2 linked regions of the Coturnix japonica genome follow. The protein of the gene in region 1 purifies or fractionates together with the protein of each later gene. This does not show direct contact. Links are inferred from orthologs where the notes say so. Each region holds a gene or a part of one and is shown in the gene's direction. Other genes may lie near its edges.

What was found.
Region 2: the proteins of CPSF6 (region 1) and NCBP3 purify together in Homo sapiens (co-immunoprecipitation; 3 studies listed by BioGRID and IntAct, with this or other methods). This does not show direct contact. The link is inferred for Coturnix japonica from reciprocal best matches to the Homo sapiens genes CPSF6 and NCBP3.

The regions. Positions count from the first base shown.
Region 1 is NC_029516.1:32,102,962-32,107,059, forward strand, and holds the start of CPSF6 (cleavage and polyadenylation specificity factor subunit 6), read left to right. Parts: upstream 1-1,263; 5' UTR 1,264-1,352; coding exon 1,353-1,412; intron 1,413-4,098. UniProt on the Homo sapiens protein: Component of the cleavage factor Im (CFIm) complex that functions as an activator of the pre-mRNA 3'-end cleavage and polyadenylation processing required for the maturation of pre-mRNA into functional mRNAs.
Region 2 is NC_029534.1:3,968,951-3,973,273, reverse strand, and holds the start of NCBP3 (nuclear cap-binding protein subunit 3), read left to right. Parts: upstream 1-1,505; 5' UTR 1,506-1,598; coding exon 1,599-1,805; intron 1,806-3,457; coding exon 3,458-3,523; intron 3,524-4,062; coding exon 4,063-4,168; intron 4,169-4,323. UniProt on the Homo sapiens protein: Associates with NCBP1/CBP80 to form an alternative cap-binding complex (CBC) which plays a key role in mRNA export. NCBP3 serves as adapter protein linking the capped RNAs (m7GpppG-capped RNA) to NCBP1/CBP80.

The DNA.
Region 1 (4,098 bases):
CCCAACATCTCCAATGAATACTTATCAGGATAGGAAAGGTTTGTTTTTTCCTCAGTAGTGTGGAAGAAGGTGGACAGATGGACTGAAGTGTTGTGCCAAAGTGCTCCGTGTTGTTACAAGTAACAAGAACATCATCAAGCCAGACGTGGTCCTTTTTAAATCTCCACACACAGTGCCTGGATACACTCTAGTAAATGTTTCTTCAGGTGATATTCTGAACCTCTCCAAGGGGCTTTCCAAGGAGTGCTTGGTTTGTTGGTTAGGAAAGCTCTCACAGCTGAGAACAATCCCAGCTGTAGGTTTTTTTGTTTGTTAACACATATAACAGCACAAGAGGCTGTTGTATGTATGTATAATGTGTGTGTGTGCCACAAACTGGATGAGAACTCCAGGGACAACCTGAGCATCTCCATGCCCAAAGTACAGCAGGACTCAGCAGGCTGAGCCAGTGTGAGGGCTGAAGCAGAAACGTGGTCATGAGAGAGACCTTGGTAGCACAGCCTGGTCTGGGAGACGAGTCCTAATGAAGTTTGTTGGGGACAGCAAGTGACCAAATGACTGCAAGCCTTCCAGACCCATCTCTGAACAAGAGAGCACACAGATGAGCAGGTGTGTTCCCTCAGCTCTTCTTTCACACTAGCTTCCATCTGATAATACAGCTGGAGCTTTCTTCCTTTCAAAAGCAGGAGGAAAAAGGGGCCCTGACAGAGATATGCATAAGACAGCAGCCCATACTTTAAGCCTGCGTGATCCACAGCATACCCATTGCTGTGGCTCTCTGATTTTTCACCTCTTTTCTGTCAGGAAAAGACCAACCTTTCCTTTCAAAGAGAACTATAACGCAAGAGCACCAAAGCACAACACGAAGCAGGGATGCTCAGGGCCACAGATGCTGATCCAGGAGCACTCCCACTCACGGAAAAGAGCATTTTCAATCCACCTGTGGTCTTTAACACTCTTTCAACCCGGTCTAGAGAAACACAAACTTCTCGTTGTCAAAAGGCAACTTTATTTTCGGATGAGAAACACCACACACAATGGAGAACACACTGTGTTCCGGGATCGAGGGCGATCCTCGCACCTCGCGCCGCGACCTGGCAGGGGCGCTGAGGGGGAACGGCGGGGCTCTGAGGAGCGGCCCCGTACTTCGCCGTGTTCCGAGGCGGGCTCGGGCCGCTTTCCCTGCACTCTGAAGGGGCGGGCAGGGCGGGGCGGCCCCCCAAGAAGCGGCAGCCGCCGGAAGTTCCCCCTCCTGGCTCGGAAGTGACGCCGCGTGCACCTTCCCCCTCCCGGCAGCGGCGGCGGAGCCGGGCGCGGCTGGCGGTCGGCCCGAGGCGCGGCCGGGCGGGATCATGGCGGACGGCGTGGACCACATCGATATCTACGCCGATGTGGGCGAGGAGTTCAACCAGGTACGGGTCGGAGCGGCCCGGCTCCTCCTCCCCTCGCTTTCCTTTCCTTCTTCACCCGCCTTCGCCGCCGCGCCGCCTGCAGGGCCCTGTGCGCGGGGCCGGGCCGCGCCGCGCCGCCATTGTTCGGGCGCCCCGCCGCAGGGCGGGACGGAACGGGACGGAGCGAGGCCGCGCCTCAGGCCCGGCCCGCGGGGGATCGGGGCTGGGCCGGGCGGGGAGCGGCGGCGCTCGGGGGCGGGAGGGAAGGAGGGAAGGAGGCAGGGAGGCAGACAGGCCGCGGGCGGGCGCCTTCCCTCCCGCTCTCTGTGCCGCCACAGCCGTCCCGCCCGGGACAGCGGCCCCTTCCCGGCCATTGTTCGCAGCGCGGGAGGAGCGGGGGAGCGCAGCCTCGTGCTGCTGGCAGCAATGCCGCCCGCCGGCTGTGCCCGCAATGCTCGGGCTCTTGGTGAGCCGAGGGGATTTATTTGTGTGAGGAAGTGGCGGTGTAACGCGCACAACTTCCTGCACTGCCGTCTGATTTCTCTGGTTTCTTTTTCACTCGCCTTTCCCCAAAGCCGCCTTCCTCCCTTCCCACCGAAAGGCGATGTTGTCGTCGGGTTTGTGGAACATCTGTTCCATGTGCGGGTGCCGCACTTCTCTGGCTGCACTGCCCTAAAACAGGTCCCATAGTGCTGCCTGTGTGGAGTGGGAGCAGGCGGCAGGGTTGGGATACGCAGCTCATGTTACCAGCAACTTTATTTCTTTCAGTATTTGTCGGTAAATTAATTTAGATCGATAATCTCCTGAAGGTATAGCATATAGCTACGCCATCCCTCGTGAGCAGATGACAGAGACATGTGCAGGTTTCTCCCTGACAGCTGAAGACCCATTAGATGAATTTACGTGGGGGTGATGTACAGCACAAATACCATTCAGCATAAAATATAATCTTTGAGGCCTCTGCCAGCCCAAGCTGTTCTCTGATTCTATCTCAGCAGCTTCTGTAGCAGCTTTGGTTTTGTGTTAGTCAGTTCCACGTAAAAAAGTGATAACAAACCAAGTTCTTCAGAAAAGATAGTTTGAATCCAGTAGTACTTGTGTAAATTCGTATAGGGGGCAGGCCTCGAAGTGGTGCAGTTTGTGGCTGTAACCTCAGTGAAGACAGATTTTTTACTTGCTTTAATTTTTGCAAGACATTTCTGTTTCTTCTTTTCTAAGCCTGAGTTCTGGGGCTTTCATGTTGTCTCAGAACCTACTCAGCTGAACTGTATTTCATTAAAATAGAAAGTTGGACTGGCAAAGATTGGCACCTCTGCACTTTCCATTTCCTTCTGCAGAGCAGGAACAAAAGCCAATTGTTACCACCTACAGCGCTGCTACCTCTAATTCTGATGCCATTGTGATGAGTCCTCTTGAAACCTCTATTCAGGGTTTCTGATTTGAAGCTGACAGCTTGAATTAATAGGAGAGGACTTACAGTTCAGCATGGCTGCGGAGGGGTGAAGATTACAATTCTCTAATGCTGTAGGGGGAAAATGATGGCAATTTGATGGTAATTTATGTAACAGGTGTTTTATGCAATGCTGTATTTCTAACGAAAATTTGTTTTATATGTAAAACAACATACTGCTCTTGAGTTGTGTGGTGCTGTGTCCGCTTGCTAGTGTTAGTTGGACTGCAGGAGCCCCTTCCATTAGTTTTGTTGGTAGCAGGGACTGGAAACATGCTGTGCAGCTTTTTTCATTCTTCCAAATACGGTATAACTGTATTTATTAGTAAAGCTGGGACAGCACTTTTGTGTTTGTAGGAAATAAATCTCTTAGGATTCGTGGTTGAGTGAGCCCTTCGTTGCTCTGTCCTGCTCTGAGCCTCAATGTGCTCACTATTGGAGCTCTTTAGAATCATAGAATTACCCAGGTTGGAAAAGACCTTAAAGATCATCAAGTCCAACCGCAGCCTAACCAGTACCCTAACTCTAACAACCCTCTGCTAAATCATATCCCTGAGCACCACATCCAAACGGCTCTTAAACACATCCAGGGATGGCGATTCAACCACCTCCCTGGGGAGCCTATTCCAGTGCTTAACTACCCTCTCTGTAAAGAAGTGCTTCATAACATCCAACCTAAACTTGCCCTGGTGCAACTTGAGGCCATTTGGGGATTTGTTTTCTGCCTGCTTCTATGAGGTGGGAGGATGTTCCACCTGATTAGCACTAGATGAAGTCCAGGTTACAAGGCTGAAGTAAAAACTCCAGCCCCCAGGTTTTCAGGCTGGCTGAACTGAATGAAAACTGAGACCTGTCTTGCAGCCAGCTGCAGGTTGCAAAGAACTGGCTGGCTGGACTTGAAGTCACATCTTTGCAGTGAAAGCACAACTTTCCCTTCCCATCTGGCGCTCATCAAAACCGTATGTGCCTGTGTTGCCTCTTTCATTAACCTACTGTTCATCATAACTGTGTCCTTTGTCCTTGTGTCTAATGCTTTACTCAGTTTGTCTCCCCTCACTTGTATTTAAATTGGTTTTAATTCCCATTTCATTTCCCCCTCCCCTTCTTTTCTTGATAATTTGTCTTCTCAGCTGACTTCCCCATCCAGCAGTGTTTTGTATTTACGCAGTGTCATGTTCTGAACCAACAGTCCCATAACCGCAGTATTTTTGCTCGCATCACTTGTGACCTGTACGAAGTATGTGTGGTGTGGTGTGT
Region 2 (4,323 bases), on another chromosome or scaffold:
GCAGTTATAAATATATAAGAAAACACCAGGTGTTTGACTTATCAGATGGTTTAACAAATGAGCATCCTTCCTTCGCTGATCCTGTTCTCTCTCCAGATGGACTGTAGGTAGGAGCCAGTCATGATCTATTTGGAACCTAGAATGCCAGTTTCCCTGGTGACGCATGGAGTTTGCAGGATGGCTGCAGAAATAGCACACTTCTGTGCTCGGGTTTTTCATAGATTTAAAAAGCTGGAGATTCTTGTTGAGAATTAAATCCCAGCAGCAGGAAAGTACAGCCACATTCAGGGTAGTGCTTCACAGTCTTCAAATAAACAAGCCAGAAGTCTCTTGCAATGATAAAAATAATCATTTTTAGACTCCTGCCAGGCCAAGAAAGAAAGAAGAGAAGCTGCCTTTTGACTGAGAGTTGTTGTTCTTTTTCTCCTTCCCTTTTGTAACCCATCTTCCCTTGTTTCCAGCTGAACATCAACAGGAGCTGGATGGTTTCAGCAGGTTTCTTTCACAACTGCTGGCAGTTGGGAATATTATTGCAAGAGTTCCCTCTGGTGGTCACTAATGGGGAAATGAATAATACTTCCTCTCTAAGAAGCTTTTTTTTTATGCTGGAAAGATTTATTGTTCAGTCACTCTATTATTTTTAACAGCCTTTCTTTAGTTCTCTAGATAATGACTGAGAACCTTCTCCAGATTCCTGTTTCATCATTAACACTCCACTCCTCACTAGTTTACTACCACTGATTCACCCTTTCAGCACAAAAGCTGCAATAAAGGTGGAGCTTTTCTGCTCCAACCTGCATTCCTTCGTTCACATTTTATAGGCAGAGGATGCAGTCCTGAGCGCTGAGTGGAAAAGAACAGAGATGGAGACTTAGAAGAATGAAATTAGATCAGCTTTAATTGTGAAGAATTCACAGTTCATAATGAAAAGCTGGGAAGTATCAAGAGATTCTGCTCACCTATTCAGCAGCCAAAGCCTTGCATGCATTCAGGCCTGGTTTTCCTCCTCTGATTTGACTGTTCCTACATCATATACAGATCTAGATCCTTTGTATCCTTTCTGTATCCTTTATTTCCCTTATAACAGCATTTCTGTCACAGAAATCTTCCCTCTACTGATGATTTCAGGGTGTTTCTGCCCTGTTTACTTCTCATATGTTCACATAATCCATTCCCATCTGGCATGGAAATATCACCTGCACTGATATATATCACTTGGTGGTTCCTGTCAGGTGTTGGCTGGGTGATGTCAGCAATGGCAAAATAACTGACATTAACAACCTGCTATTGGATTTTAGAATCATTAAGATGGGAAAAGACCCCTCAGATCTCCAAGTATGGAATGAAACGTCTGTGGAAGGCAGTTCACTTCTGCCACCATCATTATAGGACGGGAAAATGGCGGCCGGCGGAGGGCCGAGGGAGCCGCTCTGTCTCCCCGTCTCTATGGCCGCCCTGAGCGCGTTGGCGCCGCTTCTGCAGCGGCTCCTGGCGGCGCTCTATCCGCGCTGCCGTCTCTGTGGTGTCTCTGGGAGGTGACGCTCTGCACCGCGGCTGGGCCGTCTCGTTGGCCGGGCGGAGGGCGGGCTCGGGGAGTCATGGCGGCCGTGCGGGGCCTGCGGATTTCGGTGAAGACTGAAGCGACGGCGACAATGGCAGAACCCCGCGGCACTGAGCCTGAACCTATGGAGGTGGAAGAAGGCGAGCTGGAAACCATCCCCGTGAGGCGATCGCTCCGTGAGCTCATCCCGGTGAGGGACGGGCAGGGGGAGCGAAGGAGGGACCGGCACCTGAGGGGGGGCAGGGTACGTAGGGGCGGCCCTAAAGGCACCGGGGGGTTTATGTGAGGGAACGGGGGGTGGAGGGGTCGGGAGGAGGGAAATGGGGGTGGGAAGGGGGAGGGGAGATGAGGGAGGGGGTGGGCAGTGGGGGGAGGTACGGGCTGAGGAGCTGGAGTGTGAATGGGATGCTCAGGCAGTGCGGGCCCTGAGGGTTTTTTTCTTGTTCTCTCATTTTTTGTACTCACTGTTCTTAGATAAGTTCAGCTATGGTCAGGTTGAATGTATGAAAGTGGGTCAGAGTTGATCTCCGCTCCTAAGTAGGCTTTTGTTTGGAAAATGCGTGTGGAAAATGCTTGAGGAACTAATCTCTAATTAGCTGCTTGACCAACGTGCTTCAGCTTCAACCGACCTCCCCTATGAGGACAGGCTGAGGGAGTTGGGTTTGTTCAGCCTGGAGAAGAGAAGGTTGCGGGGTGACCTCACTGCAGCCTTTCAATACCTGAAGGGAACCTATAACCAGGAGGGGAGTAAACTCTTGGAAAGGGCTGACAATAGCAGGACACGGGGAAATGGTTTTAAGTTAAAAGAGGGAAGATTTAGGTTGGATGTCAGGGGGAAGTTCTTCACTAGGAGAGTGGTGAGGCCCTGGAACAGGCTGCCCAGGGAGGTTGTGGATGCCCCGTCCTTGGAGGTGTTCAAGGCCAGGTTGGACGGGGCCCTGGGCAACCTGATCTAGTAAAGGTGTATGTTTGGTGGCCCTGCCAGGCAGGGGGTTGGAACTACATGATCCTTGAGGTCCCTTCCAACCCGGGTCATTCTGTGAATATGTGGCCTAAGAGACAGCACCCAACCGTATGGACTTCCTTGTGCTCCATCAGACACCTCCAGACAGCAGTGGTTTGGTTGTTGTTTTGTTTTGTTTTTTTCCAGTTGAAAAACGTTTATTTTGCTGTTCTCCGTTTAATTCTATTCCTGTTTTAAATATCTTGTAACTTTAAGGGAAGTTTGTTACTAAGAAAAGCTGTTGGGCTCGGTGTGTGACTGTTTTCTAACCGAGCCTGACCTACTTTTTAGTAAAAAGGCCTTTAGCCAAAATAATTATTGGAGCACAAGGGTAAGCAGCATATTTATCCTTAGACATAGCAAGGCACGTTGCTCATGTCACAAACCTTCCCTAGGAGATGGTTCTGAGGGTTCCAGAATGAAGCAGTTGTGAAACATGCAGACAGGACACAGCTGGGTCACTACTCCAGGGTTCGTGTTGTTCACTACAGGCTTAGGTTTCAGTGGTCTCCATTGGTGGAAATGAGTTTTATGTTTGTTCGTCAGTGCTGTCAATCTTCCTCTGGGTCTGTAGTCATGTATCAAACCAGGGATAATTTGTATTGCTTCTGCCCTGTTGCTGAGACAAAGTAAAAATGTGAGCAATTGAACAATTAATAATACAGCAGTTATTGCAGAAGCACACGTTTCTCATAGCAGAGGAATCTGGGTTCATTTGATGTGCTTTAACTCTCACTGATGTCAGTGAGGTTAAGTGCTCATATACCTGACTCTGTATGGATGTGTAGCTTGAAGTAAGGATGGATTTCTCATAGGCCAGATTTGTTTTAGCCTAGTGATTACGTTGCAGTCAGCATTCATTGAGTTTTCATCACTGTTTTGCTTTGTTTCAGGACACTAGTAGGAGATACGAAAACAAAGCTGGAAGTTTCATTACTGGAATAGATGTAACATCCAAGGTAATTTCTGTCCTGTGGTTCTTTGAAGTGTTTTAATTATTGCGGCAGGAAAAGAGGAAACACTTCATTTCTTTCCTAAGAGTCACAGAAGCTTCCTATTATGAAAACACAATAACTAGACAATTCTCCTTCATGTTGGTTGCAAACAACATCTGGGTGGGTTCTTGTGATTTCTAAGTAGCAAAATTTGTGTCCAAAACCTGAAAATGTGTACAAAGTCTGTACATTTGTTAGGAAGGAAAAATAAATCTTACTGTTCCATCATAGAAACTGGTCATGGGTTCAGGATATTTTATTTTCTACGCATTTTGATCCTCATTACGTTGCCAGACTTGCATTAGAAGTACTAAATAGCACAGTAACATGTCAGTGAGTTCTTTTAGTGTTCTGAAAGATACAGATCTCTTCAGAAATAAGAGAAATATTAACATAGCTTGTTGCTGCTTGGTCAGTTGTATTTTAATATCCAGTCTTATGATGTCAGTTGCTGGGAAGGCTGTGCTGTTCCTGTTTTGACTGGATCGTTTCACATTGTGCAGGAAGCGATTGAGAAAAAGGAACAAAGAGCAAAGCGCTTCCATTTTCGAGCTGAAGTGAATCTTGCCCAAAGGAATGTAGCTCTGGATCGAGACATGATGAAGAAAGGTATGATTTTATCCAGCAATTAAGAAGGAAAGGTCTCTTTGTTTGCTTCCTCACAGTTCCTTTACTTAATTTATATTGTTTTATCTCCTAGTGGCACCTAATGTGTGTGTGTCCAAGATCTGTCTTTGGGACCGATGCTGCCTTAAGTGTATTTA